Linked DNA regions of Nothobranchius furzeri. The protein of the gene in region 1 purifies or fractionates together with the protein of each later gene. This does not show direct contact. Links are inferred from orthologs where the notes say so. Each region holds a gene or a part of one and is shown in the gene's direction. Other genes may lie near its edges.

Region 1 (7,302 bases):
TTTTCTGTCTTCTTCCTGGCAGTCCGAGGCCAATAACACAGCCATGTTTGGGAAGCTCATGAGCATTGCTAGTGAGTTAGAAACATAAACATGCACATATAGTTATTCATCTTGGCTGTTAAGCAGGTTTATTTTACCTTTATTGATGTTTGCAGAGAACCTACCAGATGCTGGGAAGGCCCAGGACTTCATGAAGAAGTTCAATCAGGTTCTCAGTGAGGATGAGAAGCTCAGAGTCCAGCTGGAGATGCTGATCAGTCCAACCTGCTCCTGCAAACAGGCCGAGATCTGTGTGGTGAGACGAGGCTCTCTAGCTGTGGATTACATCCAATTCAACGTGCACAAAGCAGAAACCTAATTCAGATTCTGAGTTTCATAGGTCAAGTTTTTTTTTATCATGCAATAATTAGTATGAATGCTTACAGGGGGTACGAAAAGAATTCAGACCCCAATCAAGTTTTCACTCTTTGTTATATTGCAGCCATTTGCTTAAATCTGTTAAATAAATTATTTTCCTCATTTATGTGCACACAACACCCCATATTGACAGAAAAACACAGAATATTAGACATTTCTGCAGATTTATAAAAAAAAAATAAACCTGAAATATCACATGGTCTTAAGTATTCAGACCCTTTACTCAGGATTTAGTAGAAGCACCCTTTGACCTAGTACAGCCGTGAGTCTTCCTGGTAAAGATGCATCAAGTTTCTTACACCTGGATTTGGGGATCTTCTGCCATTGAATACTTTCTGTACCCGCTGTATATTTACTGTTTCCTATTTCTACTTGTGCAGAGGGAGATTACTCGTAAGCTGACATTCCCCAAACAGCCCACCAACCCTTTCCTGGAGATGGTAAAGTTCCTGCTGGAGCGGATCGCACCGGTTCACATCGACTCCGAGGCAATCAGGTCGGAGAAAATCCTCAAAGATTAAGACAACAATACTAGAACTGGCTTGTTTTATGTTGCGGTGATTTTAAGTTTTTTAATTTTATTGAGGTGAACATTTTTTATTTAAATGTGTTTTTAAATTCTAGTTTTAGTTTTCAATCACAGAAAAGAGAAACTGTGTCTTCAGGTTTCTGAACCTGAGTGCTTAATGTGTGTGTGTGTGTGGTTGCATAACACTGAGCTATCATCATTCACTGAGCCACCTAGCGGTGGTCATGTGCAACTGCAACTCCAGTCTCCGCTCCTCTTTAACCCTTTCATCTTTTTGGGAAACCACACTAATAAATGAGTCCAGACACACGTGTGGATTAGGGATGTTGTGTTTTTGGTTCAGTGCTCTGGTGAAGCTGCTAAACAAATCCATCGAGGGAACAGCGGATGATGACGAGGAAGGCGTCACCCCTGATACAGCCATCCGCTCCGGACTGGAGCTACTCAAGGTTTGATCGAAACCAGAGAAAACCTTGAAATGGCCCTTTACAGTTGGATAATTAATGAGTTTCCCTCTGCTTTCAGGTCCTGTCATTTACACACCCCACAGCCTTTCACTCGGCTGAGACCTACGAGTCACTGCTGCAGTGTCTAAAGATGGAGGATGACAAAGTGGCAGAAGCAGCCATCCAGATTTTCAGGAATACCGGGCAGAAGATTGAGACAGAGCTGCAACAGATTCGATCGTAAGAAGATGGATGCGTTGATCCTTTCATGTGTTTGTGTTCTAAATAATTGACGCTTAGTTGGATTTGACACAGGTTTCCTCAGTTTGACAAGATTGTCCATTAAAAGAACATTAAGATGCCTCTGTGAGAATGAACATGTAAATGAAAGATTTCCTGTTGTTCTTCAGGACACTGATTCCCATCCTGCACCAGAAGGCCAAACGAGGAACACCTCACCAGGCCAAGCAGGCGGTCCACTGTATCCATGCTATTTTCAACAACAAGGAAGTGCAACTGGCACAGATTTTTGAAGTAGGGAATAATTTCATGTTGGTCTGTAGGGATCAAACTTTTCATGTTAAGTGTTTTTATTGGTGTCACCAGACCGTTTATGTGTCAGGATGTGTTCATCTTCCTCCACAGCCTCTGTCACACAGTCTGAACGCCGACGTCCCGGAGCAGCTCATCACTCCTCTCGTCTCCCTGGGCCATATAGCCATGCTGGCTCCAGATCAGTTTGCATCACCGATGAAATCCATTGTGGCTAACTTCATCGTGAAAGACTTGCTCATGAATGACAGGGTGTGTGCAGCAGCCATCCTTTCACCTAAATCAGGAGTCACACACACACACAAGGCATCAGGAGTCACTTTTTTTTTTTTTACCTGTCTGGCCCGTTTAGCTTTAAGCTTTAGCATCTTTTTTTAAGTTGTTACAAACTGCATTTTACTGGGCAAATACATACAGCTGTAAATAAATGACATGTGTGTTTGTTTACATAAAGAAAGCAAAGATGTGGTTTATCTCTGTGTCTTCAGTCAGTGGGAAACAAGAACGGGAAGCTATGGACCGCTGATGAGGAAGTTTCTCCTGAGGTCTTAGCAAAGGTACCTGATTACAGATTGCTGTTTGGGCCCTTTTTAAAATATTAACAAACAGATGTTAAGTGTCACAAGAAACAAAAGACACGTTTCCCCTCTGTCCTCCAGGTCCATGCCATCAAGCTTTTGGTGCGCTGGTTACTGGGAATGAAGAACAACCAATCCAAATCGGCGAACTCCACCCTGCGCCTGCTGTCGGCGATGCTCGTCAGCGAGGGAGACCTGACGGAGCAGAAGAAAATCAGGTAGCTCAGCTGAGCTCTCAGTCACGTGTGGCAGCCATCATTCCCCATGAGACTCCAGACTTTAGCTGCTTCTGTCCTCTTTCTCCCAGTAAATCGGACATGTCTCGTCTGAGGCTGGCTGCTGGGGCGGCCATCATGAAGCTGGCGCAGGAACAATGTTACCATGAAATCATCACACCAGAACAGTTTCAGCTCTGCGGCCTCGTCATCAATGTCAGCGTCACTTTTACAAATATTTTTCATTCCGTAGTTTATTGGACTCTAGCGTTCTTAAAACGTAAACAACCAAGTGATGGATGCATCTTAAGGCATGCTGAATCATTTCACACAAGTCCCACAATGTGCTGTGAAAACAACTTTCTTACAGCCAGATGTCTAAAACATGAGCTCCATGTGAGCAGTTGGTCTCATGAGCATCTTAACTCTCCACAGGACGAGTGCTACCAGGTTCGTCAGATCTTTGCACAGAAGTTGCACGTAGCTCTGGTCAAGCTGCTGCTGCCCCTGGAGTACTTGGCCGTTTTTGCTCTGTGTGCCAAGGACCCGGTGAAGGAGCGGCGGGCCCACGCCCGACAGTGCCTCCTCAAGAATATCTCCGTCCGCAGAGAGTACATCAAGCAGAACCCCGTCACTCAGGGTCTGTGGTCATAATTCATAATTCAGCTGATGTCTCTGGTTGTTCTCATTAAAAGGAATTTTCATTTTCCCACCAGAAAAACTCATCTCCCTTCTTCCTGAATACGTGGTTCCTTACATGATCCACCTGCTGGCCCACGACCCAGACTTCACCAAACCGCATGAATACGAACAGCTGAAAGACATTAAAGAGTGAGTGTGTGTTGTGTTTGTGTCGAGCTGAACGTGTGTGTTTCAAACACGGCTTTTTTTGTTGTGAATCCTGAAAACCAGACAAATGTGGTTTAGCTACAGCTTGAATCCTTTTACGCTTTGCTTTCTTCAGGTGCCTGTGGTTCATGTTAGAAGTCCTGATGACCAAGAATGAGAACAACAGCCACGCTTTCCTTCGGAAGATGGTCGAGAACATCAAGCAGACAAAGGACGCTCAGTGTCCTGAGGATGTGAAGGCCAATGAGGTGTTTGGCACATGTGACGTTAAAAGATTTAATCTGGTGTTGTAACGGGCAAGCAGAATGTGGAAGTCTGACATTTAACACATCCATTTTTGTGAAAGCAGGAAGTTGATTTGTTTACTTTCAAATGATTCTTACCGGGAATCTTGTGACCTTACAGAAACTGTACATCGTCTGTGACGTTGCACTATTCGTCATCGCTAACAAGAGCACCGCGTGTCACCTGGACTGCCAGAAAGAGCCAGTCTTACCCTCAAAGTTCTTCCTTGTACAGGACAAGGTCATACCACACACACACACACACACACACAGAGATGTACATTATATAGTGTGCTCATAATGTTTTGGGACCTTAAGCCATTTCTAACACTAAATGCATGTTGTCATAACATTTCAAATCCTAGTGTGTGCGTGTGCGTGCTTGTACGTGTGTGTAAATAGATGGAGAGAGAGAAAATAATGATTTTGTAATTTTCCTTGTCAGGATTTCAAAAACGATAAGGAGTACCTCACGGCAGAGATGAGACAGATGCTGCTCACTGGAAAGGTAAACGATCAACACTGGAGTGTAAATCTTGACACGAGTTACTCTAGTTTTCAACTTATGGGAAGTTTAATTTGGAATAGCTCGGCAGCAGTAGTTCAGGAGGTTGAGCGGGTTGTCAAGTAATCAGGCTCCTGTCAGAGAATGCTGCTGTTGTGTCCCTGGGCAAGGCACTTAACCCTCCTTGCCTGTAGGTGGTGGTTAGAGGGACCGGTGACGCCTATGTTTGGCAGTCTTGCTTCTGTCATTGCGTCCCAAGGCAGTTGTGGCTACATTGTAGCTCATCATCTCTCTCTGTGTGTGTGTGTGTGTGTGTGTGTGTGTGTGTGTGTGTGTGTGTGTGTGTGTGTGTGTGTGTGTGTGTGTGTGTGTGTGTGTGTGTGTGTGTGTGTGTGTGTCACTCTAGTTTATCATCTCAGCTGGTTCTGATTACAAAAAGGAAACTTGTTGCCGTGTTTACTTTATTTTTTAAATAGTTGCAGGCCGGAGCACGGCTGCAACTCCCCACTCCTCCCTCTGTTGCACCAAGGCGTAATATGCGTTCACAAGTCTGGCATTGCGGTAATATGATTACCAAGCATGGCGGCATGAATGCCACAAAACTCCCGCTACGCCATGCCGCCACGTCACATGCATGACACGCCGTGGCGGCAGTGTTATGCGGATTTGCCGGCATGGTGTCTTCTAAAAAGGACTTCAGATTGATAGGTTGTGAGATGGAAAACATTTGCAACAGCACTGTTTTGTTAGGTGAATATTTACTGTGGGGTGCTTGTTTTAAATTGGAACCGGTAAACTTTGACAGAATTATATTTGAAACAAAAACCAATGATGCATTTTAAAAGTTTGGTTTTAATGTTTTTTATCCTGCAGCCAAAACCAGCTCCAGTGTTGGCCGCTGTCAACAAACCTCTGACAGTACCAGGGCGGAGGATCTTCAAGACCCCCACAGCTTCTGACACATCCAGTAATACAAGCACCAACGCCTCTCCTATCATCAAGAATAGGTAAGCACACACACACACGCACACACACACACACCCACCACCTTTGCCTAACCAGAACTGCCCAGTGCTGTCCTCTTGGTCCACCAGGCAATCCCTCCTGTTGGTGCAATTTTCAAACAGGAAGTGTGAGTGGAGTTGGATTCTGGTAGGGGGTGATTTGCTCTTTAAGCTCAAAACCAGTGGATTGTCAGACTTCGCACCTACAACACTGAGTGCATATCCATGTCTTCAACCAACCACTTACCACCACAGCACTGTAAATTATCAGACCGACACTACTGACATAGGGAGAACCACACCACCCATCTTATGGAGGACAGACTCGAAGCTTTGTTAAACTTACCACTTCGCTCAACTGTGGCACCACTCATTGTCAGTTTCACATGGACAGTTACGAGAGAGAGAGAGAGAGAGAGAGAGAGAGAGAGAGAGAGAGAGAGAGAGAGAGAGAGAGAGAGAGAGAGAGAGAGAGAGAGAGAGAGAGAGAGAGAGAGAGAGAGAGAGAGAGAGAGAGAGAGAGAGAGAGAGAGAGAGAGAGAGAGAGAGAGAGAGAGAGAGAGAGAGAGAGAGAGAGAGAGAGAGAGAGAGAGAGAGAGAGAGAGAGAGAGAGAGAGAGAGAGAGAGAGAGAGAGAGAGAGAGAGAGAGAGAGAGAGAGAGAGAGAGAGAGAGAGAGAGAGAGAGAGAGAGAGAGAGAGAGAGAGAGAGAGAGAGAGAGAGAGAGAGAGAGAGAGAGAGAGAGAGAGAGAGAGAGAGACCCTCATATTTGTCTCTGTTCTCTCTGATTTCAATAATCTCTTGGTCTCCAGTATTATGATTTTGACTACAACACTATTAATTCTTTTTCTGTCTTTCCAATTGATCAATCAAACCCAATTATTATGCAAAAAGAAAGCTGGGATGCTTAAAATTGGCTTTTTACCAGTGCACCCTAAATATTATAAGACTCTTAAATTATGATACCGTTATGAACAGAGATCTTTTATATAGCGCCTCTCAACATAACGATCATGAGGCGCTTCATGAAAACAAAAAAATTAAGATATTAATATTTCTAAAAATGATAAAAAATGATCATCTACCTGATGTGATGACTTATACAAAAGCAGTTTTTCTACTGTTTGTATTATTTTGACCAAAATAACAATCCCGGGCAAGCCCTCAATTTTTCACGCCTGGCTCTGGTGTCCACGACTAAAATTACAACATTCAATCAAACTGTTGAATCAAGCTGTTGATAGCTCAGTCATAAAACTATTTGTTTCATTTACTTTGTTTTACAACAGCACTACTACAGAATCATCAGAGAGTCGAGCGCAGGAGAACAACGAGAACCCGGTCATCAAAAACGAAGAGGTGAAAAAGATAAACGCAGATGGGTGCAAAATATTTCCTAACTTCACTCCTCGTTCTCCTAACTCGACATTTGTCGTTGTCATTCAGGATGCATCCGATCAGAAATCAACCCCCGACACTGGGACCGATGGGTCACCTGTCAAACGGCGTGGCCGGCCTCCTAAAGCTGTGGCTGCTGCTTCTGCAGGAGCAGAAAAAGAGGGCACGGTGCCGTCAGCGGGGGCTGGAGGTGGCCGAGGAAGGAAGAGAGCAACTGATGCGTCTGCAGACCCCCTCAACATCAAGATGTCAAAACAGCAGCTGCAGCAGAACGATGAAGGGACAAAGAGACAGATTGATCTGCAGAGGTAAAAGTGCAAAATGCCGGATCTCAGCAGCTTGAATTGTTGTTTCTCAGCAGATGATTCTTTATAAGCAAACAGGCGTGCCTGAAAAAGAGAAGGGATTGGAGGATTTTCCAACTTCAGCTCAGTGGAACAAAACTTTTAAGGGCAGTTTTAATATCTAACTGAAATCTAAGCTTGACATAGACAGGAAGTAAGAGGGTCTTTTGTTTTCTGCAGCCT
Region 2 (8,007 bases), on another chromosome or scaffold:
AAGTGGTGGTTCGCCGTGGCAACGAGGACGCCATCCTCACCGTCGTTCCAGTGGAGATCGATCCTTGACTCCTCGTAAATCCTGCATCAGGGAGCTGGAGTTTGGTTGAACTCGTCATCAGCGGACCTTGGGATGGGTTTTCCGCTGACTCCCCTCCCCACCATTGAGGCCAAAGTCCCAGTGGCACCACACTTCCAGGAAAGATCTGGCTTTGCCTTGAAAAAACGACGGTACGGCTGCTCTGAAAGCGGGGCTGTACTTCGTTTTCTATTTGTGTTTTTACTTTTAGTCCTTGATGTGTTCATTAATGCTACTACTGTTTGGTCACAAACATAAAAAATGTTTTATATGGCAATGTTTTCTTAATTTTTGTCTTTTTTTTATATGGACATTAACCCAAAACTGCTTTTTAGAGACTCACTGAGCAAATCTGATTTTTATGATTGTTTCTTTGAATCCCTCTTTTTAAAAGTACTGAACAACATTTTTGTTAATTATGTGATGTATTACTGACAAAAATAAATAAAACCTACATTTTTCCATATGCAAGTCTTCAATTCTTTTTCACTTCAATTCTCTCCGTTGAGTGTTAGAGAAACGGCACCCAAGCTGATCGTATCAATATTATCTTTGCACGTGCAGCGTTCATGTGTAATACACACAGAGGAAGGGGGCTGGAGGCCAATTGGAATCTGTTTTGAATTTGTTTTTATTGCCTTCATATGGGCTTGATAGCAGTCTGGTGTTGTTGAGCCAGGGGCTGTGCAGGCTGACCTCAGAGACAGAAGCGTGAGCCAAACGGAGATCTGACCCTCGATGCAGATGTGGGGTTTGGATAAACACGCTCGATTCTTTGTAAAAGAGATTTGTTCACCACATAAATGTTGGAAAAAGATGATAAAGCAATCCTTGTGGAGAACTATGGAGACCAGCACAGACTGCACAAACAGCTTTATAGACTCCTTTGAGTAAAATCCTTCAGGAGCTTTTCTTTTCATTTATTTTTAACTAATCAGATGTATTGTGTCTGGTTTGAAACTTCCACTCTTTAAAGATATACTTTACAACGTTTTTATATATTTAAATCATTTTCTTGAGAGAGTATGTGCTAAAATGACCCTTTTTATACTCTATGATCTTTTTTCATGAAAGACCACACAGCCCCCATCACCCCCTGTGGCCAGAATATCACACTTGCAACTCCAGAGTGCCGGTCAGGTCTGTTGGGACTTGGGCCTAGTCCACACGTAGCCATTTTTTTTTAAACGAATATCCGCCCCTCCAAAAACTTGCATCCACACCACCGCGTTTTAAAAACAAACTCTGTCCACACGTACCCGGATAAATACGTTGTTAAGGACATGCCAGACCTGTAGGCGGCAGTACTTCCCCCGTTCTTAACCTCGTCCTTCGTCTGTGGTCTTCCGCAAGGAGCAGTAATTCCGCTTGCAAAAACAAACAAGCAAAAAGCGCTTGGACAATTGATAAAGCGAGCGCAGCTCTGAGGGCATCCATGCTGTCGGCTAGTGTAAGCACAGGTTGCACACGTGATGTCAGCATTTTTTTGTCCCGGAAAGTGACGTTGCGGAGCTTAAAACTCCGGTTTTGTCTGTCCACACGCAGACACCCAAAACGGAGAAAACGCAGATCTTCACTTTGGCCGGAGTTTTTAAAAAGATCCGTTTTCGTGTGGATGACAAGCCAAAATGTAGAATAATATCTAAGTTTTGGCAGATCCCCGGCTACGTGTAGACAGGGCCTAAGAAAAAGGAACTGACATACCTGGCGCTGCAGTCTGGTTCCAGAATGTTTCCTGCATGATTTAATCATGAACACAGCTGATTTAATTTATTGATGAATCACTTCTATATACACTAATAAAAGCTGGGGAGACATGTCAGCTGTTAGATTAAGGTGTTAAAAAGGCGAATGCATAGCAAGGAGGTATGTTTTGTTTTTGGTTCTACAAATGGACACTAGGGGGTGCTAAAAGCAAGCCAAAACTGAGTGCATTTAAACATCTTGGTTAAAAGCAAATGGAGGAAATTTGGTAGGATTCAGCAGTTTGCTTCCCAGTTTTCACATTTGAGCTGCAGACCAAGTCTCTTAACAACCATTGGACGGTCATCCATCTTTTTGTTTCCATTTGGAAGCTTTACTACAGAGAGGGGCTTTCCGTTGATGGTTAGCTTCCATGATTAATGACCAGATATTATTTTTGGAATTCACTGGACATTCTTTTTTTTTTTTTTACAATGCAATATGCACTAGATGAGTTTAGGTATTTGGAAACAGAAGCAGAACATGAAATGCAGCCTAAGTAGACACTAAATAGGGGAAAATGCTCAGCTTATACATGAGAAACCGTTAGTATTGCTGCCATCTGCTGGTTCTGTCTCAGAGTTGCAATTGTCGATTTTACGGATCTTGATTCAGTCTCAAAAGGTTGGAGCAGACACTAAACTCTGTTATTTGGCTTTACCGTGGCACAGATCCCTGACTTATTTGATCAAAGCCTACAAAATATTCAGATTATCACACACATTTTAAAAACTGGACTCAAGCTTTCCTCCAAATAAAGTCATAACTGCCAGACTGCCAAACCACGAGTTCATTATACATGCCATGTCTGTATTGCATCACCATCTCTGGGACCCTGATGTGAACTGACAGCTCCTCTCTGGGTCTAGCTGTAGACAAATGCCAGAAATATGTGAATCTAACACCGTTTGGATACAGCAATGTTTTTAGTAAATGTTGGACAGTTACAAAAACAATTCTGTGACTGAGAAAATCTTTGGTCAAACTGTGATCTATGACTCTTCTGGAAACCAGACACCTTAAAAAGGTGTTGCCACTTTAATGTGCACATTCGCTTCTGGGGGACAACAGAGATCCCACAACATATTTATCTTTCATATACAGAAAATGCATTATTTATTTTTCTTCATGTGAGGAATAATACAACTTTAAGTCCTAAATAACTTTTTGAACGGCGCTCATGTGAAATTAGAATCACCTTCTTTCTGAGTCGTTTCCACAGAGGACCTGTGACCTGAAGGAGTTATCATGTATGTCTAGGATGAGTGATGGTCATTTTAGTGTTGATGTAGTTGTGACCACTTTGTCTTGCTGACCCAGGGCTTAAGTTGTATTTATATTCCAGTTGTGCCCCCTACAGAGTGGTTCTGGTGAATGACTTGCATTTTGGTAAACAAAACAATCAAAGAACTTTAGGTAACCAACACTTACTCTTTTGACTGCTGTTTTACAACCCTAGGTGGGCAATAGTTCATCATTAATAATATTTGAAAAAAACATCTACCATAGAGTAAAATCACCATGGTTTAAAACCATTTGCAAGCTTTAAACCCCAATTTAGCAATTTTCTGCATGTAGCATCGTTACCTGCATTACTCGGCACGGTGTCCAACTTTAAAACTGAACGTGATCCTGCAGCGCCCCCTGTCAGCCTGGTTTTACTTTAAAATTTAAACCAATCAGAGACGCGTATGTTGACACAGTCTCGAGGCACAGGGGAGTGTTCCTGCTGCTGATTGGACAGTTTTTTTTCAACAATGTAGTACGTGATTAGGATGTCTTTCCAACCATCGAGGAGGGAGGGGATATTTTAATGGCCGTCACTTGCACTTAAAAAATACAAAAACTCCGGATTATCAGCTATATTTAGACAAGTACAGCTTCCTATACATTTTAGAACGCCTTTCTTTCGCAATAAACGCAACATCTAAAACATCATTAAATTAGAAATGTGTTTGTAGTGCCTTTTCCGTTGCTCTGAACGGACTTTACCCGCTTGATTTGTGCGTGAGTAGCTGGTTAGGCCTCGCCGGCTGTCTGGAGACGAGACGATTAGCTGGAGTTGAAAGGTAGAAAGTCTTCTTTGCTTTTGCTTTATACTGAATATCATATTAGATGCCAATACTAAAAGCTACCTTATGGGTGCTTGGTCGTGTTTGAAATACGGAGTTTCATGCTTAAAATGGAGCCATGTTAGAAATGTAAACAAGAGTCAGGTTAGCGTAGTTAGCTGTGCGGAAGCTAATAGCTAACTTCACAGTAGTTAACTTTACATGCATGCCTAACTAGTTATCAGGCAGAGACAAGTTACCTACACGGCTAATGTGTGACAAAAGGCCGTGTATTTAACTCCCAAGTTTAATGAAAGTTTATCAAAATCCTTTTTCTCTCGTGTAACCTAGACAAACGACATTCGAAGCTAGAGCTAGCAATGCTAACTTTGTATGCTAGCAACTATCAGTTGACTCAACTAAAACTTGCAGGCAATATTTTGAAAGCATTTTAAGTGTATATATTTTTTTACCTGTCGGTTAGCAAGTAAAATCAATAACATTAGTAAATATATCGATTTCTGAAGTGTCTTGTTATAAAACTTATCTAGGACATATACATTGAAATCCCATTAGGACCTTCAGAATAAGATAACGAACAAGACCGGGTAGTTTTTTGTGAGAAAGTCAAAGAACGAATGGATCGATTGTTGACATTTAGGTAATTCTCTCTATAAATAAAAGTCTAGTTGTTTATAGTTTGTAAAATGTGTTTTAATTTACCCTCAACGCATAAATGACCCCAGTTTTAACCAGAGTAAGAAAAAGTTTGAGATAACAGCTGAAGTCTGAACATTATTTGGAAAAAGAAACTAGTAAGCATCTTGTGACACATGCAGCTTTTTTCATAAACTTAATTTAAAAACATCTAAGATCATTTTTGTTCTTTTAGATGTGCTTGTATGTGAAGGTTCAAATGATCATGTTGTTAACTTAATGCATGTGTTAAATATTGAATGGTCTTTACCTTTATTTACAGAGAATATGTAACAAACAACAACCAGCATGACATCAAGATTTGGTAAAACATACAACCGCAAGGGAGGGGAGGCAAATTCAAAGTTTGAAGAAGTCTTTTCCAATAAAAAGCCCTCTCTGTCCACCAAATGGGGAGAAACTACATACAAGGCTCAGCTGGGAACCAAAAGGCCTCTCTTAAAACCCGGTGTCCCTGAGGTCTCAAAGAGACCCAGGCTTGAGGACAGTGACAATGAAGAAGACCCATTTGGGTTTGACAGCGATGAAGAGTCTAAAACTGTAGCCTCTCACAGTGAGTCTGGTGCGAAACTCATAGAGGAGGGGGTGACAGAAACTGCTCAAGTGCAAAGTAGAGTAACTGCTGCTGTTGTGACTGCCACACAAGGCTCTGCAAGTATACCTGCTACATTCGCAAGTGAGTGACAAAAAATGTTTTATGTTGCATCATTTTCTTTTCACTATCTTTGTCTCTATTTTTTATTCCAATTCTTACACTCAGTTGTGACTTCTATATTATCAGTTCTGGTTCGAGACCAAACTATATATCGGGCCAATATATTAAATTTTTTCTGTACTGTATCGGCCATTAGCCGAAACTATTTTTAAAAGCCAACAAAAAAACAATCAGGCACCTGTGTGGCCAACTACTGCCACTACTAGGCTGAAGAAAGGACCCCAACACACTTATTTATTAATTTTTTTTTTAATATTTTGAGTTTGTTTTGTATTTGAAGTTCAATAAATATTGAGAGTATTATATATTGCACACAGTGAATGTTCAGGTGTCTTTCACAATCATTGTGCTGCTAAAACGTGTATATATACATATATATCTATATATATATATATATATATATATACATATATATATATATATATATATATATATATATATATATATATATATATATATATATATATATATATACACATACATATATCAGCCTTAATAATCAGCTTTAGATAAATATAAACATATCAGTCTGCCTCTAGTCCTGGTCTTTTACTATGATCACTCATAAATTTCTTTACACTTTTAGGTAACCAACCATCAGAGAAGAATGTTAAAAACAACCAGCCCTGGTACAAAAGTGCATTAGAAAGCAATCAGAAACCAGCATGCCCGACCTCGTTTTCAGACACGGTTCTTTCTCAAAACCAGAACATCTCCGTGTCGCAGACAGCTGCTTCCTCTACTTCTGGTTTAGACTCCTCCCTCAAACTGTCAGCTGATGCGCCAGGAGGTAGCAAACACTTTCAAACTCCTTCCTCCTGTGATGGATCTTTATCAGAGGAACTAAAGATGGTGGTGCCCATGGAGCCTCCACCAGAGCCAGTAGACAACATTCCCCCATCGCCATTCACTCTAAGAGCCTCAAACTGCAAGAAATACCAGCGGCCCAGTCGGCCTGATAAAATTCTATCTGAAGTTGCTGAAAACGACAACGAGAAGCTGACCGACATAGCGAGTGTTCAAGATAAAACCAACAGTGTCCTTTCTGCTAGTGCAACTAATACTGCTGCCAGTGTTAAAACAGCAGCTAAGCCTGCAGGCAGAGGTGGTGGGAGGGTGCGAGACTACACAGTTCTGCATCCCTCCTGCGTGTCAGTGTGCAACGTTACTATCCAGGACTCAATTGAGCGGAGCGTTGATGAGTTAGTCCCCCCGGCTACCCCCGCTGACCTTGGAGAAGCAGGGCTTATGAAGAAGAAGTCTGATGCACAGCCACCTAAATCTACTCGGTAAGATGTGTTTTTATCTGTCAGCATTTTAAAATGATTCATAAAGTTGTGATGTTAGTATTCAGTCTGTTTCAAAGAGATTGGACAAATACTTTATTTCTAAATTTACTGTTGTTAATAAATTAATCCTTTTAGGTTTAGACCCACCCAAGCAAAGGTAAAAAAGACTAAAACGGAGACAAAACTGGAGTTCTTTGGCTTTGAGGCGGAAGATGGTGAGCAGGAAGAGGAGAGCTCGGAGAGTGGAATGCCAGGAAAGAGCAGCTACAAGATCAAGTATTTTGGCTTTGATGACCTGAGCGAGAGCGACAGCGATGACGAGAGCTCTCAGGTCAAAGAGAAAAGGGCCAAGAAGGCAGCTTTAGCTTCCCTGAGCTCCGGGGTGGACAGTCCTCACACGAGTGATTCTCAGGACAGTCAAGCCAGCAGCAACACAGGTGAGCAGATGAAAAGTTATCTACTTTTGAGATCACTGAGTTTTATAAATAACTCCCTGGGATGTGTCAAGTAGATGCTTTTGAGTTCTCTGACGACTCCAGCCCCGCTGGCGTCGATGGACCGAAAGGACGACCGACGAAGGCGGGTGACAAATCCAAGGATTCCATCTGTGGGTTAAAAAAGATATTTAGTGGACCCAAAAAGGTATTTTTTTTTTTTATTTTTTTTGTTCCAAATTTCTTTGAATTGTTTGTAATCAGATTAAGGTACCAGATTACAATACTGAGCAGCCATAGTCCATTTGGACTTCATTTCATCTAATCAATCTCATATTTACGTGTTGAATGAAAGGGATACTGTGCAGTTTTGGGTTGCTTTAGCACCACCTAGTGTTTGTTAAGGAAATCAAAAGGCAAACTGATCTCCTTGTTGTGTGTTTGTCTTTTTAACAACCTAATCTAACCGCTGAAATGTCTCCTCAGACTTCATTAGTTTCTACAGGAGTGATTTATCACTAAATGAAAAAAATCAGCCGTGTTCATGATCTAAAACATGCAGGAAACATGCTGGAAGCAGACTGCAGCGTTGGCATGTCAGCTTCACTTTACTAAGTCCAACAGGGAACAGCCTGCCTCTCTGAAGTTGCAAGTGCGATATTCTGGCCACAGAGGGCAGTGGGGGTCTTTTCATTAACCATGTAAAGGTTCATTTTGGCACATATTGGCTCAAGAAAATTACAGAAAAAAATCGAGTTGTATAGGCTGACTTTAATCTGACAAAGTCCATTCAAAGTCCATGATTTTTAAAAATCGGTTATTGTTGCAGTTTTGGAAGTTGTAACTACACTACAACACACACACACACACACACACACACACACACACACACACACACACACACACACACACACACACACACACACACACACACACACACACACACACACACACGTGGCTGTTCTCAGGCCTGCTTTAAT
Region 3 (7,302 bases), on another chromosome or scaffold:
TGTGGTTTAGAGCGGGGGTCACCCACCTGGTGCCCCTAGGTACTAGATGAGGTGCCCACAGGCCTTTTCTCCAAATGGCTTCTGCTGCCATCATTTATAATCACAAATGCATTAATAGAAATTTAAAAGTCTATTTATTAAACATGATGTTTAGCTTAACGCTGATCTGTTCTAGTTCAAATGTCACTATTGCATCAGCCTGGTTGCCCTTCCAACGGCTCGATAATTGTGAAGTAGCTCTCAGCTTCACCTAGGTTGGTGACCCCTGTTTTAGAGGGTTGTAAAGATGATAAATGAGCAAAAACAACATTTCCATTGTAGAAGATATTCATATCATCTACTGAACTTTAATGTTATAGTTAAGTTTTAGTAGCTAAACGTTGAAGAGGAAGAACTGATTTCTGTAATCGCTCCTCTCCATATTCCTGAGACGCTTCACAAGAACAAAGAAAAGACAAATTATTTAAAAAAAATAACAAAGAATCAAGGTAGTGATGGAACTGTTTACAGAACTTACTGATTTAGCTTTTATTGATTCTATTCTAAGACTTGTGTTTTGTTTGGGTTTTCTCCAGTTGTCCAGCAAGAGAGAGACATGTGGAGACAAATCCAGACAGCTGCGAGACGCTCAGCAAGACGCTCGAGACAAAGTGGAGGTAAAAGAGAAAAATCTCACACTGTTATTAATATTAGGATGCATAAGTGGAGTTTTGAGCTGATGGAGGAAAGATAAGGAAAATAACTGCAGCAGTCGTCCTTTAAACATGTTTTTGTTTACTCAGTAAAACTATTGATTATTTAGTTGGTTCTCAGTTTGAATTATTTTAGCATTAATAAAAAATAAAACTACAATAATTTACATACTTTGTTACATGTAGCTGTTAGTATTTGGTTATGTGGAAAGTAAATATGTCTCCCACAATTCTTTGTAGGCGTTTTCTTTTCTGCTTGTTTTGTGAAGAAACCTGTCCCTTTTAAACTTTTGGTTGCCGTGTTTTAGGAGACGGAGCGCGTTGTGCGTGAGCTGAAGTCCAAAATCTCCGCTATGAAGGAGGAGAGAGAGCAGCTATCAGCAGAGCGCCAAGAGCAGATCAAGCAGAGGACCAAGCTGGAGTTGAAGGCCAAGGACCTGCAGGATGAGCTGGCAGGCAACAGCGAACAGAGGGTACGGAAGCCTCGGATCTGCGTCACGCTCCACACGTGATGATGCACCAACACCGCTCCCCTCTCCTCCATCCTCTTCACTATTACTGAGTCTGCAGTCTTTACTCTTTCCAAGCACATTTTCACCCCAGCAGCTGCTTATCATAGATTAGCTTTCAGTTTGTTGAGAGGCTAATAAAAGGTTTAGAATGAGCACCGTAACTTATAGTGGTGAAATTAATGTAGTTTACCGCCTTCTAAATGAATGAATTGTTAAGGTGATTTAAAAACAAGACCAGATGAACACGTTAAACCTTAGAAGGGAGGTGGCTGAGTTTAGGTAAGGCATCAGTTTTTTTTAGAAAAAGGCGATTATTGTTCATATGATGCTTATCCCCTCCCTCTCTGCTGTGCTTCAGCTGCCTCTGCAGAGGAGGTGGTTATGCACATGCGGGCTTTTTATGATTATGGCTGAGACAAGTTGGAAATTAGGGTTGGCATTTGCTTGTTAACAACCCAGTGAAACATAAAACAAATACTCTAGCCGTTTTTACAAAACAATTCTGTCAATTTGCCGCAGCGCTGTGTTGGCATCAGGGAGCCTTAGGTTAAGTTGTCAGACCGTGGCGGTAATGTGGCGCAATTGTGTCCTTTGTATAAAAGATTATATAATATATATTATAAAAAGATCGTTAAAGTTTTTTAACAAGTCGCCCGTAAAGATGTCTGTCCCCATCAGTCCCTGTGCAGTCTCTGATGATCTGAGCTTCTGCTCTAACAGAGAGACGCTCACGGAGTGCTGCAACGCTCCAGTTTGCCTTCTCAGCTGATTTTGTTCAAAAAGCAAAGCTTATTGCCCGTGCCCGGCATGGGGAGGAATTATGACACGTCTCTAATTAAAGTAAAATTTTCTAGTACAGTGTGGAGACAACCCATAGAAGCACTGATTTGATCTCATTTCAGAGAAAAATAGAACAGGTCAGATGCATCTAATAAATAAAATTACTAACGAACTCAGGAATCTGTTTCTTTGCTTCACTGTTCTGGTGCTGAGAACATCACTAATGCAGATCAAAGGAGATACACAGATGAATGCACCTCTTATTTATTATTTGGAGACTACATTTGCTGCAGCTGGCAGAGGTAGAGATTTTTTCTATTGATACACGTAATTTACAGAATCATTTTAAATGTTAACAGGGGAAGACTGCAGGAGGGAGCGGTAAAATACAGGGGGTCCCCAGCAAAAACAAGAAACTTTACAAGTCTGATGAAACCCGCTGGTTTTCCATCAGGCAGTCACGGGGCAGCTCCAACGACCCAGTGACTGTGCTGAGTCAATGTTATCGAGCTCAGTCCGGCTCGGCCGTGAACGAGCCGAGGCGACGTCGTGCTCTGCTTAAGAAGAAGTGTTATTTTCCTGCTTCAGAAGAAGCGTCCAACGTGTTTTTACGCTTTCTCCGAGACATGTCACGTCGCTAAGTTGTTAGCGCCGCACGCTAACACGTCAATAGTGCAACGTAGCCTGCTGGAGGTTTTAAGGGTTCAGATGAAAACACTTGACCTCCCAGGCTGCTCACACATCGATCTTAAGTTGTCGCTGTTGCGCTCACGCCGTAATACAGTATTAGATGCGGTTAAAGTCAGACATGAAAAAATAAATCAATTTTACATGAATAAGTGATGCTTAGCCTGGTGGGGGGAGGAAACCCTGTCAAGATCGTCAACACTCGTTTATCTTAATGCTATTGAAACATGTAAACCAAAAAGCATTATATCCACTGCTACCATTCTAATTTTAAACTCAGTAACTTATGCTGTAACTTCACCTTGCCCTGCCTGCTCCTCCTTGCTGCCCGCCGGCTGTGATCACAAGCAACAACATAGTAGTTCCTGCTGCTTCTTCGGGAAACGGCGCAAAAAAAAACAAACTTGGGATCTTGTAGGCGTGGCGGTGGGATTTCAGCTGTGGCGGGCCGCCACGGCTACGCCTATGTAAGGGAAACCCTGATGTGTGATGCCTCAAAAAGCGTCACCTGCTCAACTATTAAAACCACTAGCAGGGTGAAAAAAATCGAAATATTGTAGCACAGACGGGCTTCAACTTTTGGATCAATTTTATACAAACTGTTTTATTAATTATCTTCTGTTGAAAGATAACTTTGAGGCACATGAGCGACTGGTATTGGTTGCTGTCACCTGTTGTGATCGGTTAAAGCAGTTCTCTGCTGTCAGAGGGTAGGCCCCGCCCACAACGCTGCGGCTCCCAGTGTTTTCTTTACTGTGGGAAATGGGTAATAATGTCTCTTTGATGGGGAAAGGTTGCCGACCCCTGGTTTAGACGTTGCTGCTTGATAAAAAGTGTCTGTGTATCTTTTTCAGTCAAAAAGTGAGAATCCCCGTGTGATGACTTAGGATGTAAAATGAATCATCTCCATCAGCTTCACCGTCCATCCTTCTTGGCTTCTGTTTTTATGTACTCAGTTGGCTGAGCTCGGTGTCCATATGGCCTTGTGTTTAATGTCTGTGAGCACGTGTGAGTACAAAGACCATAATCAAAGGTTTTCTTGGCTCAGTCTGTGTATGAACTATGTTGGGTCACAGGCAGCCTGCTGGCTGGTGGTTGGATTAAGCCCACCTGGCCATGGCTGACCCAACACTCGCCAAAAGGCGCCAGGGCAAAAGGAAAGGCCGCTCTAGTTGTATGTTTGATCAACTTTGAAGTGGTTGATCCAGGAAAGGGGAAAAAATATATTTTTACTGGAGCAGGGTCGGTGTGGATGATATGGAAAATAATTATTTGTGTGTGTGCATGTGTGTGTGTGTGTGTGTGTGTGTGTGTGTGTGTGTGCGCGTGCACTTCTCCAAGCACAAATAATGCCCTTACTATAAAACATGCTCCTTTTTGCAGATAGGTGCACTTTCTTTCATGATTTTCTTGCAAAAACTAAATTAATCTAAATAAAATGTAGTTTTTCTTTGCTGGTCCATCAGTTATTTACCATCTATAAGCTCTCATTGACTCATTTCAAATGTTATTGGATGTGGAGGGAAGAGCAGTCTGCGGTGAGCGGGGCATTATGAGTGTATTCTAGTGATGCAGACAGCTTACACTTTACTAACTTGGCACATTACGCATCTTCTGTTTTGTTGGCCAAACATTTGCTAAAGCTCTCCTGTTCTTTCAGAAACGACTGCTGAAGGAGCGTCAGAAACTGCTGGAGAAAATTGAGGAGAAGCAAAAAGAGTTGCAGGAGACTGAACCCAAATTCAACATGGTGAAGGAAAAGGAGGAGCGCGGCATCTCCAGGTAGGGATGAGTCATTCTTATCTACACGGCACACTTGATGAGTCAGTCATCACACTGGAGCATCAGATTTGACTAATCTTCTGCAAAGTGTCCTGTTTTCATGTTTTAAATGCAAGTAATGCGATTTTTGTTTTAAGTGTTTTCACTTCAAAAGCTCAAACACAAGAATGTTCTTGTTTATTCATGTGTATAGTTCCATATCATACAGAATTAATTAGCTTAACTCTCAAGGATAAATATCCTGATTGGGAAGGATTGTTGCTGTCAAATGTCTATGAACAGCTTTGGATGTGGTTCTTCTCAGACTGGCTCAAGCTACACAAGAGAGGACCGACCTGTATGCTAAGCAGGGTCGTGGCAGTCAGTTCACCTCCAAGGAGGAGAGGGACAAGTGGATCAAGAAGGAGCTGAAGTCTCTGGACCAGGCCATCAATGACAAAAAAAGGCAGATCGCAGCCATCCACAAAGACCTGGAGGACACGGAGATGAACAAGGAGAAGAACCTTGAGCAGTACAATGTAAGACGACTCGACTGTTCCTGGATCATTTTGGTTCTAAAACACTAAACCAATCACCCTTTGTCCTACTTGTGCCTTTTAATCAGCTTCATGTAGCTTAAACAGACACCAAGATTGTTCATTTGTATTGATTCAAAATGCTAAAATATTCTCTAGTTTTTCTGGTTCAACTTTGTCTGACCCACTTTTTACTTGTGACTTCAGAAACTTGATCAAGATCTGAATGAGGTCAAAACCCGCGTCGAGGAGCTGGACAAAAAATATTACGAAGTGAAGAACAAAAAAGATGAACTCCAAAGCGAAAGAAAGTAAGTCACCTCATATTTACCTTAACGTCAGATTTTATAAATAACCGTCGTTGACTCGGTGTATGAGGCAGTTCCTGTCTACCTGAATTTCTCCTGTAAACCCGTGACTGAGAGTTTAAGAGCACATTTAAAGGGATATTCAACCCAAAAGTAAAATGTTGTCTGACATACTTAATACACAAGGGCATACATTTTTTCCTCAATTTACAAATAGGGTTGGGCATCGTTTGATTTTGAACGATTCCAATTCCAATTCCCCGTTTCGATTCCGGTTCCTATCGATTCCCGATTCCGATTCTTTCAAGACATTCCATGTTTTACATGAGCCAGCTAACCACAGGTCCTACTTGATGAAATAATCTTAACTTCAACATGAGTTTTAATTCTATGAACAATAACATCACCTTCATTTAGACAGAAACGTGTTTTGGAGGGAAGAAAAAGACTTGCAGCACAACCAGTGTGTTTGTTTCTGACCACAACCAAAGTCTGGAAGAAGCGTCTGGGATGAGAGGCTAAATGTCTCCAACGTGTCCAGGAACATCCAGCTGTTTTCCTACCTGCAGCAGCATTCAGTCAGAACAGAAAGTGAAACTTAAATGTAGCTGCTGTCAGTAACAATCTAACAGATTTTAAACATTAAAACGCAACAGAAATAGTTCAGAAAGGAAATAAATTTTTTTATTTATTATTATTATAATTATTTATTGTGGCAGAAGCTGGTGTGGTCCACCACAGAGAAGCTGCTCTAGCATGATGACTTATTCTACTGGTTATTGTTCAGCCTTCTGACGCTCACACACACACGCACACACACACACACACGAGTGTTGGTGAGCGGCTGCGTCTGACTGCTGACGCTCCGTGTGTGTTTTTATTTCTGCAGTGAGACAAACTCACCTCACACCGTCCAGAGTTTGTTCTTTAAAACTTCTATTAAATCCACCGTGTTGATGTATTTAACATGTTTCCTCTACGCTGCAGGAATTAAAGTTTACATTACGGAGTTAAAGTTCAGCAGATGCGTTTGTTTATATCTGGCCACTGGGTCGGGGGGGGGACTCGGTGCTGCACACAGACAGCTCGTGTGATCAGCTCTGCAAAGCGTTGATCACAATTTGCAGATCACGTTTATTTTTCACGGAGATCGGCCGCGGATTCCTCTTCCGTCTGCATTCTAGGAATAAACAAAAAACTTTGAACGATCCGGGAAAAATGAGCAGTTGGAACCTTGTGAGAATTTAGTCCTAAATTTAAAAATGAGAAACTTTTTTGTTAAAAGCATAATTTCCTTCTATCCTCTTTAAAAACCCATAAACATGACCCCCCAGGTTACAAGGAGTGAATATCAAGGCTCAACTCGGGCTTCTGCGCCTCTAGTGACATAAGCATAACAGGTTGCGACTGTCTGATTCTGTCCAGCTACCTGTGGCGTGAGGAGAACGCGGAGCAGCAGGCTTTGGCAGCCAAACGAGAGGACCTGGAAAAGAAGCAGCAGCTTCTTAGAGCGGCCACCGGCAAGGTCTGTGTCACTCTGCAGGACTGCGTGATTATCAACTTGCATAATGGAGCTACAGGATAACCAATACTTCCACCTGGGCAGCAGTGAGACATCTGCACTCCGAAAGCAAAGGAGCTTCCAGCTGATTGGACGCAATAACGAATGCATGGGACTTTACTTCATGCACAAATATCCCCTTTTTCATCGGGTGGAACTATCACATCAGGGTAGTTTTAGCATATAAAACTGAGTGTTTGAGTCCCAAGAGAAGAGCTTCGCTCTCCCTGCAAGCCCATCTGAATGCTGCAGACTCTTTGTGACTCACCCAGTTGTCAGAATAGGTAAATCAAATGGAATTCATCGGCCTCGCTACTTCCACCTTATGATAACTTGCTAAATTTACATATGACTCACTCCTTCCTGCCTCGTCAGGTCACTTCTTCTGGGCGCAGACATCAGTCATATATTGCCTTTGAATAACGTCTGCTGTGATGAAAACAGGCTGCTTGGACAAACGTGTGG
Region 4 (6,971 bases), on another chromosome or scaffold:
CAGCCGTGCTACAGAGGCGTGCCTTGGTGTCTCCTGCTATCTCCTGAGTTATGATTGGAAGATGAAGCGCTTCAACCTGGCCACCATGCCTCTTGTGAACAAGTCATGTTTGGTTTTAGGTGCCTAGCTCCGCCTGACTGCAGCATTTGTATTAACTCGTTCACTGCCACTGACGACTAAAGACGTCATATGCATGTTTTTAGTGTGTGGGCGTCGGACGAGCCCCCGCGCCGAGAGAACAAACATCTCAGCTCTAAAGCCGATCTTCATCCGCATACGTCACGTGATCAAGAAGCAGAAAATCCTTGTGTCAGGAGATCGTTTTGGGCCGTTCCTGTAAAAAAAGTGAGGCGCGAAGCGGAAAAGCGTCTGCCGTCCACAATTCCACAACAGATTATGAAAGAACGCAGGGTTCCCCCAGCGCTTTAGAAGCCCGGCGGCCCGCCAGGCTAAGCGTCAGGCCCCGCCCCTACCGTGTCCGCTGACACGAACGGCGCAACACAACTAAAGCCCTCCATCAGCTGATACTGGTAAGAAACAGCAGCGGAACGTTGCTTTTTATCACACGGCGTTATAAATCCAGCGGGGCGAACTCTGCCAGTGTCGGCCAATGAGGAAGACGGGGACAGATGTGATGTGTTTACTATGGATGGACACTTCACCATGGAGGACGTGTGGTACTGTCCACTGTAGATGATTATTTACAATATTACTGCTCCAACGTTAGATGACGTGTTAACATTAGTTTCTTTAGTGCGAGCGTCACTGTTGAGTGATACCTTGTGTGAACCCGGTGTGAGAGCAGCGGCTGAACCGTGACACCACCACCAGCAGGATCCGGACTTCTTAAAGTGTAAAGTGAAACGACGTTTTAAACAGTTATGAAGCCAGCTAGGTGAGTTTCGGCAAAGTCTGCACCTTGTTTCCACCGGCTAACGGCCGCAGACGGAACTTCAGCTAACGTCTGTAAGCGGTTAACACGGAGCTTTAGTAAAGGCCACTCTCGCTGAGCCCCACCCAGGTGCGCCACTTCTTCTGTAACCAAACTGGGCTTGGACCAGTAGAAGGAACGCTAAATGTGGCAACAAACAACTACAATGAAACACAATTTCAGGCTCCACATTTCCCCTTGTTTAGTACTCGTGTCGCTCACTGTTCACGTGCTTTTGCAGACCAATATGGTCGACTCACGTGATTAGGTGGCGTTGGTGCAAAGGGTCAATAGAAAACAAGTAAATGTTACACCGTTGGTCGGCTAAAACAGGTCATCAACAACAAGTCCCAATCCAACAGGATTTACTGCTGAAAACATGTCACACAAAGTTTTCAGCTTCCTCCTACTAGCGCAGCGCTGGGCAACATGCCGTTTCTAAAACATGGACAGAAACCTGGTTCAACAGCCAGCGGTTTAGCCGACTCATCGCTGGAGTCAAGAAAAACCGGGATTTTCACCCCAGCGGTAAAAATCGTACTTTTACAGATTATTATAATTACAGTTGTTTAAAGCGGTGGTGCAGAATACCAACCCTGCTCCGGAGATAATCTGCAAGGTTCTTCCGTGTGAAGTTTGCTGCTGCTGTTGGACTGAGTTCATAACCTAAAACCAGGAAACAAGCATCAGTAATTGTTGGTGACAAACGGTGAAACTAAGGAAGAGCGCCACAACCACATCATACCATTTCTCATCTTGTACAGCTGAACGTTCTTCTGGATGTACTCCGCGAACTGCACCGTGTCTCCGGCCTCTCCGACACACAGCAGCAGGATCTTTTCACTCAGCTTGAACATTTTGTCATAATCTGAGACACCAAAGAACAAAACTCAGTGTGAAAGTCATCCTCTGAAAAAAGCCAGATGTCAGCACCAGTCGCCCCAAAAACAGAAACCAGGTCCGGATTCAGGCGAGTGATGAGAAAACATCACTTTGAAAAAGAACCAGGAGGTTGGACTGAAGCATCCCTTCAGATCAGATTCATTTACATCTAACTTTAAACAACGATCAGTAACACATGTGCACTGTTTTAGATCAGAACCAGTTTGATTTGGTTTCTGTTGAACACAACCGGACTTTCACTTTCACCGCCGGGGTCGCTCACCACGAGATTTAGCAGGCTAGAATAAAGCATATAAACATCCTAAAGCTCAGAACTAAACTCAGAAGCTAAGTTTGATTTCTAAAAGGCTCATCGTACCTCTCATTGGCCGGTAATGGCTTTATTGTCTTACTTTTTAATCTCCTTTGGCAAATAAAATGTGACAAATGGTCATTAATGCGTTAGAATGAAACAGCAAATCCTAAAATATAAAGACTTATACGCAGACACGCGTCTGACAAACAGAAACAGAATCAAATGAGAGAAGAGCTAATGCTAAGCTAGGTAGCTAACACACCGTGTTTCATCTGAATGATGCTGCTGGCGGCCACATTATCGGCTGCGACGAGAACGAAATCCGGTCCCTGTATACCGATTAAATATTCCATCGTCTCCAACCGAACCAACACGGAATAACGGTGAAAATCAGGTGAGACAGCAGTCAAGTATGAGCGTCAAGCGTCCGGATTACACAGCAAAAACTTTGCTCTTCCACTGGCGCGGCTTGTTAGAGTCACGATGATGTTGTCGTCATCACCGTGCGACTCGAGCGGGTAATTTCGAAAGTGGCGCCGTTGTTTGAGCAACCGGAGGAGATTCAATCGAAACCGAGTGAATAATTCGCTGTTAGTGGGCAGATTTCAGCATGGACGAAGGCTCGCCTCATGGGGCGATGGCGGGAGCTAACGGTCCTCTCGGGCCGCAGCGAAGACGCTCGCCGCGGTTCAGTTCTCCGCAAGCTCCGCTGGGAGGTGAGAAGATGGCGCTGGGAATTAAACGCTCCATCACCGTGCGGAAAATAGCGCCCAGAAAAACGAGCGCTTCGTCTAAACACAACAAGGAGAACACGCCGAGGCACTCCGAGCAGGTACAGCAGCTGAAGACCAAAGTCTCAACCCCCGATCCCGGCCCGGACCGCAGGGCCTCCTCCTCCGCCGCGAGGAAGAAGCAGCAGGCGCCCATGCCCTCACGGATCCTCCCGTCCTCCCCACCGGACTCCTGTCGGACCCAGCAGCCGGCTGCTGAACCAGAGGCCGGCGTGTGTGCGCAGAAAGCCCGCCGGTCCTATAGCAGGCTCAGCGACAGTTCCCTCCACAGTAGCCCCGACTCCAGAGAAACGTTATTCGGCTTCGAGAGGCTGAGGACCCCGGAGGTTGTCCGGAAGTCCAAGCAGACCAGGGACGCTCTGGAAGTTTCTGGACCCATCACGTCTTTCACTGAATCGACCGACGAGGGCTTTGCTGAACCGGACCCGAACATCCCCGGAGTGTCGGTGTCAAAGGAGCGGAGGAGGAGGCGGAAGGTGCCGCAGATTGACTCGGCCGAGCTGGACCATCTGGCCGCTCAGATGAACGCGGAGTTCCGGGAGGCCGAGGAGTTCGAGTTGGTGGTGGAGTAGAACCGAACCCACCAGAACCAGCGTATGGATCTTTGACTGGAGGGGTGGTGGGGGTGTAAATACGTCCGGGACTCTTGATGGATTGTATATGTAGCTCGTGAAGGTTTTTTTCTCTACACCATCATGGTTCGGTCCATTTGGACTTCCTGTGTCGGCTCTGTAGCTTGAGAGTTCTGGATAAATCAAAACGGACTTTGTTCTGGTTAAGCGGTTCTGATCAGATCCCAGACCGGTTCTGATGCAGTATTCTTTACTGAATAAACCAGAGAAACAACACGAGCCCAGTAGAACCGAACCAGAACCAGAACGTCTCTGCTGACAGAGTTGAACTGACTTCAGGTTAAAGCTGCTTTTCTGGCTTTGTGGAGTTTTTTGTTGGACTTTTCCAGGTTTTCCTGTCAGTTTTCCTTTCTGCTTCCTAATAAACCCACACTGAAGCAAGCACCCTGCCTGTTGACCTGTTCACACGTCACTTCAGATTAGAGTTAATCTGGGCTACAGTTAACCTGGGTTATAGTTAATCTGGGCTACAGTTAACCTGGGTTATAGTTAGTCTGGGCTACAGTTAACCTGGGTTATAGTTAGTCTGGGCTACAGTTAACCTGGGTTATAGTTAGTCTGGGCTACAGTTAACCTGGGTTATAGTTAATCTGGGCTACAGTTAGTCTGGGTTAGTGTTAAACACAAACAACAACATTGACCATGATCACACATTTACTGTGTTTAAAACCAAACTTCAGACCAGAACACACGATTGGTCACACACTCCATGACATCAGCACTTTACCTGACAGCATTAATTTAAATATAAACAACCCTGGTACTGATGAAAGGGTGAATGTAGATAACACATTTACTGTAATTCACATCATTGTGTCTCTCAGTGAACACCTGGTCCGTTCAGAGGACTTAATCCAGCGCTTTACTATGAATGAATGAATTTAGGTAGAAACCAACAGCTGACCTCGGTTAACAGAGGCTGAAGCTAAAGACAAGATTCAAACCCTAAAACACCGTGTGTGTGTGATATGGACAGCAATTACATCAGACAAACCAGATGCATGGTTTCAGTGTGTTAGCATGAATGCTAATTTGCAGCACTTGTCCACAGACACCTTTTGTAAAAGGTAGAACACATTTAAATAATCAAATCAAAGAAAAACAATTAAAATTACAAACATTTTCTAAAAATAAAAGGCTACTTAAAGAGCAAGTCACCCCCAAATCAACTTTTTTTGCTGATAAACTAAATAAACGAGTGTCTAATCGTGCTGCAGACACGTGTCGTCAATAATTTGGCACTTCAGTGCATCTTAGTTAAAATTTAAATATTCTACCTAAAACTGGCAGTGTTGTGCCATCGTCAGGTAAAAACTGCACTGCATTTGAATTTAAATCTGCCACCGCTATTGGCTAAGAGGTATGCTATGATGTAAACTGGTACATTATGATGTCACAATGCCATTGTGAGCCTGAGTGTGTGTGTATTTGTTGGCGGCTCCACCCTCTCGGTCTGCTAGGCAACAGCATGTGTTGCATTTTTCAAACATGAAGTGGGAGTGAAGTAAGTTTCTTGTGGGGGGGTGACTTGCTCTTTAAACAGCAGATTAAACGAGTTTAAAACTATTCATGTGGACATTGTTCTTTAGACTTTAGCCTTTTTTTGAGTCCTTTGTTAGAAACATACTCTCAGCGGGTAGGGAGTTTAGTTTTAGCTCAGCGGGTAGGGAGTTTAGTTTTAGCTCAGCGGGTAGGGAGTTTAGTTTTAGCTCAGCGGGTAGGGAGTTTAGTTTTAGCTCAGCGGGTAGGGAGTTTAGTGTTAGCTCAGCGGGTAGGGAGTTTAGTTTTAGCTCAGCGGGTAGGGAGTTTAGTTTTAGCTCAGCGGGTAGGGAGTTTAGTTTTAGCTCAGCGGGTAGGGAGTTTAGTTTTAGCTCAGCGGGTAGGGAGTTTAGTTTTAGCTCAGCGGGTAGGGAGTTTAGTTTTAGCTCAGCGGGTAGGGAGTTTAGTGTTAGCTCAGCGGGTAGGGAGTTTAGTGTTAGCTCAGCGGGTAGGGAGTTTAGTTTTAGCTCAGCGGGTAGGGAGTTTAGTTTTAGCTCAGCGGGTAGGTAGTTTAGTTTTAGCTCAGCGGGTAGGGAGTTTAGTTTTAGCTCAGCGGGTAGGGAGTTTAGTTTTAGCTCAGCGGGTAGGGAGTTTAGTTTTAGCTGAGCGGGTAGGGAGTTTAGTTTTAGCTCAGTGGGTAGGGAGTTTAGTTTTAGCTGAGCGGGTAGGGAGTTTAGTTTTAGCTGAGCGGGTAGGGAGTTTAGTTTTAGCTGAGCGGGTAGGGAGTTTAGTTTTAGCTCAGCGGGTAGGGAGTTTAGTGTTAGCTGAGCGGGTAGGGAGTTTAGTTTTAGCTCAGCGGGTAGGGAGTTTAGTTTTAGCTCAGCGGGTAGGGAGTTTAGTTTTAGCTCAGCGGGTAGGGAGTTTAGTTTTAGCTCAGCGGGTAGGGAGTTTAGTTTTAGCTCAGCGGGTAGGGAGTTTAGTTTTAGCTCAGCGGGTAGGGAGTTTAGTTTTAGCTCAGCGGGTAGGGAGTTTAGTTTTAGCTGAGCTGGTAGGGAGTTTAGTGTTAGCTCAGCGGGTAGGGAGTTTAGTTTTAGCTCAGCGGGTAGGGAGTTTAGTTTTAGCTCAGCGGGTAGGGAGTTTAGTGTTAGCTCAGCGGGTAGGGAGTTTAGTTTTAGCTGAGCGGGTAGGGAGTTTAGTTTTAGCTCAGCGGGTAGGGAGTTTAGTTTTAGCTCAGCGGGTAGGGAGTTTAGTTTTAGCTCAGCGGGTAGGGAGTTTAGTTTTAGCTGAGCGGGTAGGGAGTTTAGTTTTAGCTGAGCGGGTAGGGAGTTTAGTGTGAGCTGAGCGGGTAGGGAGTTTAGTTTTAGCTCAGCGGGTAGGGAGTTTAGTTTTAGCTGAGCGGGTAGGGAGTTTAGTTTTAGCTGAGCGGGTAGGGAGTTTAGTTTTAGCTCAGCTGGTAGGGAGTTTAGTTTTAGCTCAGCGGGTAGGGAGTTTAGTTTTAGCTCAGCGGGTAGGGAGTTTAGTTTTAGCTCAGCGGGTAGGGAGTTTAGTTTTAGCTGAGCGGGTAGGGAGTTTAGTTTTAGCTGAGCGGGTAGGGAGTTTAGTTTTAGCTCAGCTGGTAGGGAGTTTAGTTTTAGCTCAGCGGGTAGGGAGTTTAGTTTTAGCTCAGCGGGTAGGGAGTTTAGTTTTAGCTCAGCGGGTAGGGAGTTTAGTTTTAGCTCAGCGGGTAGGGAGTTTAGTTTTAGCTCAGCGGGTAGGGAGTTTAGTTTTAGCTGAGCTGGTAGGGAGTTTAGTGTTAGCTCAGCGGGTAGGGAGTTTAGTTTTAGCTCAGCGAGTAGGGAGTTTAGTTTTAGCTCAGCGGGTAGGGAGTTTAGTGTTAGCTCAGCGGGTAGGGAGTTTAGTTTTAGCTGAGCGGGTAGGGAGTTTAGTTTTAGCTCAGCGGG

What was found.
Region 2: the proteins of pds5a (region 1) and wapla purify together in Homo sapiens (affinity purification with mass spectrometry; 6 studies listed by BioGRID and IntAct, with this or other methods). This does not show direct contact. The link is inferred for Nothobranchius furzeri from reciprocal best matches to the Homo sapiens genes PDS5A and WAPL.
Region 3: the proteins of pds5a (region 1) and smc3 purify together in Homo sapiens (affinity purification with western blotting; 8 studies listed by BioGRID and IntAct, with this or other methods). This does not show direct contact. The link is inferred for Nothobranchius furzeri from reciprocal best matches to the Homo sapiens genes PDS5A and SMC3.
Region 4: the proteins of pds5a (region 1) and cdca5 purify together in Homo sapiens (affinity purification with mass spectrometry; 4 studies listed by BioGRID and IntAct, with this or other methods). This does not show direct contact. The link is inferred for Nothobranchius furzeri from reciprocal best matches to the Homo sapiens genes PDS5A and CDCA5.

The regions. Positions count from the first base shown.
Region 1 is NC_091747.1:79,465,512-79,472,813, reverse strand, and holds part of pds5a (sister chromatid cohesion protein PDS5 homolog A), read left to right. Parts: intron 1-22; coding exon 23-71; intron 72-155; coding exon 156-295; intron 296-797; coding exon 798-913; intron 914-1,289; coding exon 1,290-1,395; intron 1,396-1,471; coding exon 1,472-1,632; intron 1,633-1,802; coding exon 1,803-1,926; intron 1,927-2,037; coding exon 2,038-2,196; intron 2,197-2,432; coding exon 2,433-2,501; intron 2,502-2,603; coding exon 2,604-2,740; intron 2,741-2,829; coding exon 2,830-2,953; intron 2,954-3,172; coding exon 3,173-3,377; intron 3,378-3,453; coding exon 3,454-3,568; intron 3,569-3,701; coding exon 3,702-3,834; intron 3,835-3,991; coding exon 3,992-4,111; intron 4,112-4,315; coding exon 4,316-4,378; intron 4,379-5,248; coding exon 5,249-5,382; intron 5,383-5,469; coding exon of another isoform or gene 5,470-5,719; exon of another isoform or gene 5,720-5,829; intron 5,830-6,666; coding exon 6,667-6,736; intron 6,737-6,823; coding exon 6,824-7,083; intron 7,084-7,302. UniProt on the Homo sapiens protein: Probable regulator of sister chromatid cohesion in mitosis which may stabilize cohesin complex association with chromatin. May couple sister chromatid cohesion during mitosis to DNA replication.
Region 2 is NC_091752.1:29,578,267-29,586,273, forward strand, and holds the start of wapla (wings apart-like protein homolog), read left to right. Parts: upstream 1-3,677; 5' UTR 3,678-3,890; intron 3,891-4,851; 5' UTR 4,852-4,877; coding exon 4,878-5,265; intron 5,266-5,890; coding exon 5,891-6,593; intron 6,594-6,728; coding exon 6,729-7,030; intron 7,031-7,104; coding exon 7,105-7,235; intron 7,236-8,007. Other genes in the region: serine protease HTRA1A, read left to right, coding at 1-68. UniProt on the Homo sapiens protein: Regulator of sister chromatid cohesion in mitosis which negatively regulates cohesin association with chromatin. Involved in both sister chromatid cohesion during interphase and sister-chromatid resolution during early stages of mitosis.
Region 3 is NC_091744.1:4,680,424-4,687,725, reverse strand, and holds part of smc3 (structural maintenance of chromosomes protein 3), read left to right. Parts: intron 1-575; coding exon 576-656; intron 657-1,000; coding exon 1,001-1,165; intron 1,166-4,331; coding exon 4,332-4,453; intron 4,454-4,757; coding exon 4,758-4,971; intron 4,972-5,175; coding exon 5,176-5,279; intron 5,280-6,701; coding exon 6,702-6,801; intron 6,802-7,302. UniProt on the Homo sapiens protein: Central component of cohesin, a complex required for chromosome cohesion during the cell cycle. The cohesin complex may form a large proteinaceous ring within which sister chromatids can be trapped.
Region 4 is NC_091759.1:26,794,637-26,801,607, reverse strand, and holds cdca5 (sororin), read left to right. Parts: upstream 1-2,739; coding exon 2,740-3,492; 3' UTR 3,493-3,934; downstream 3,935-6,971. UniProt on the Homo sapiens protein: Regulator of sister chromatid cohesion in mitosis stabilizing cohesin complex association with chromatin. May antagonize the action of WAPL which stimulates cohesin dissociation from chromatin.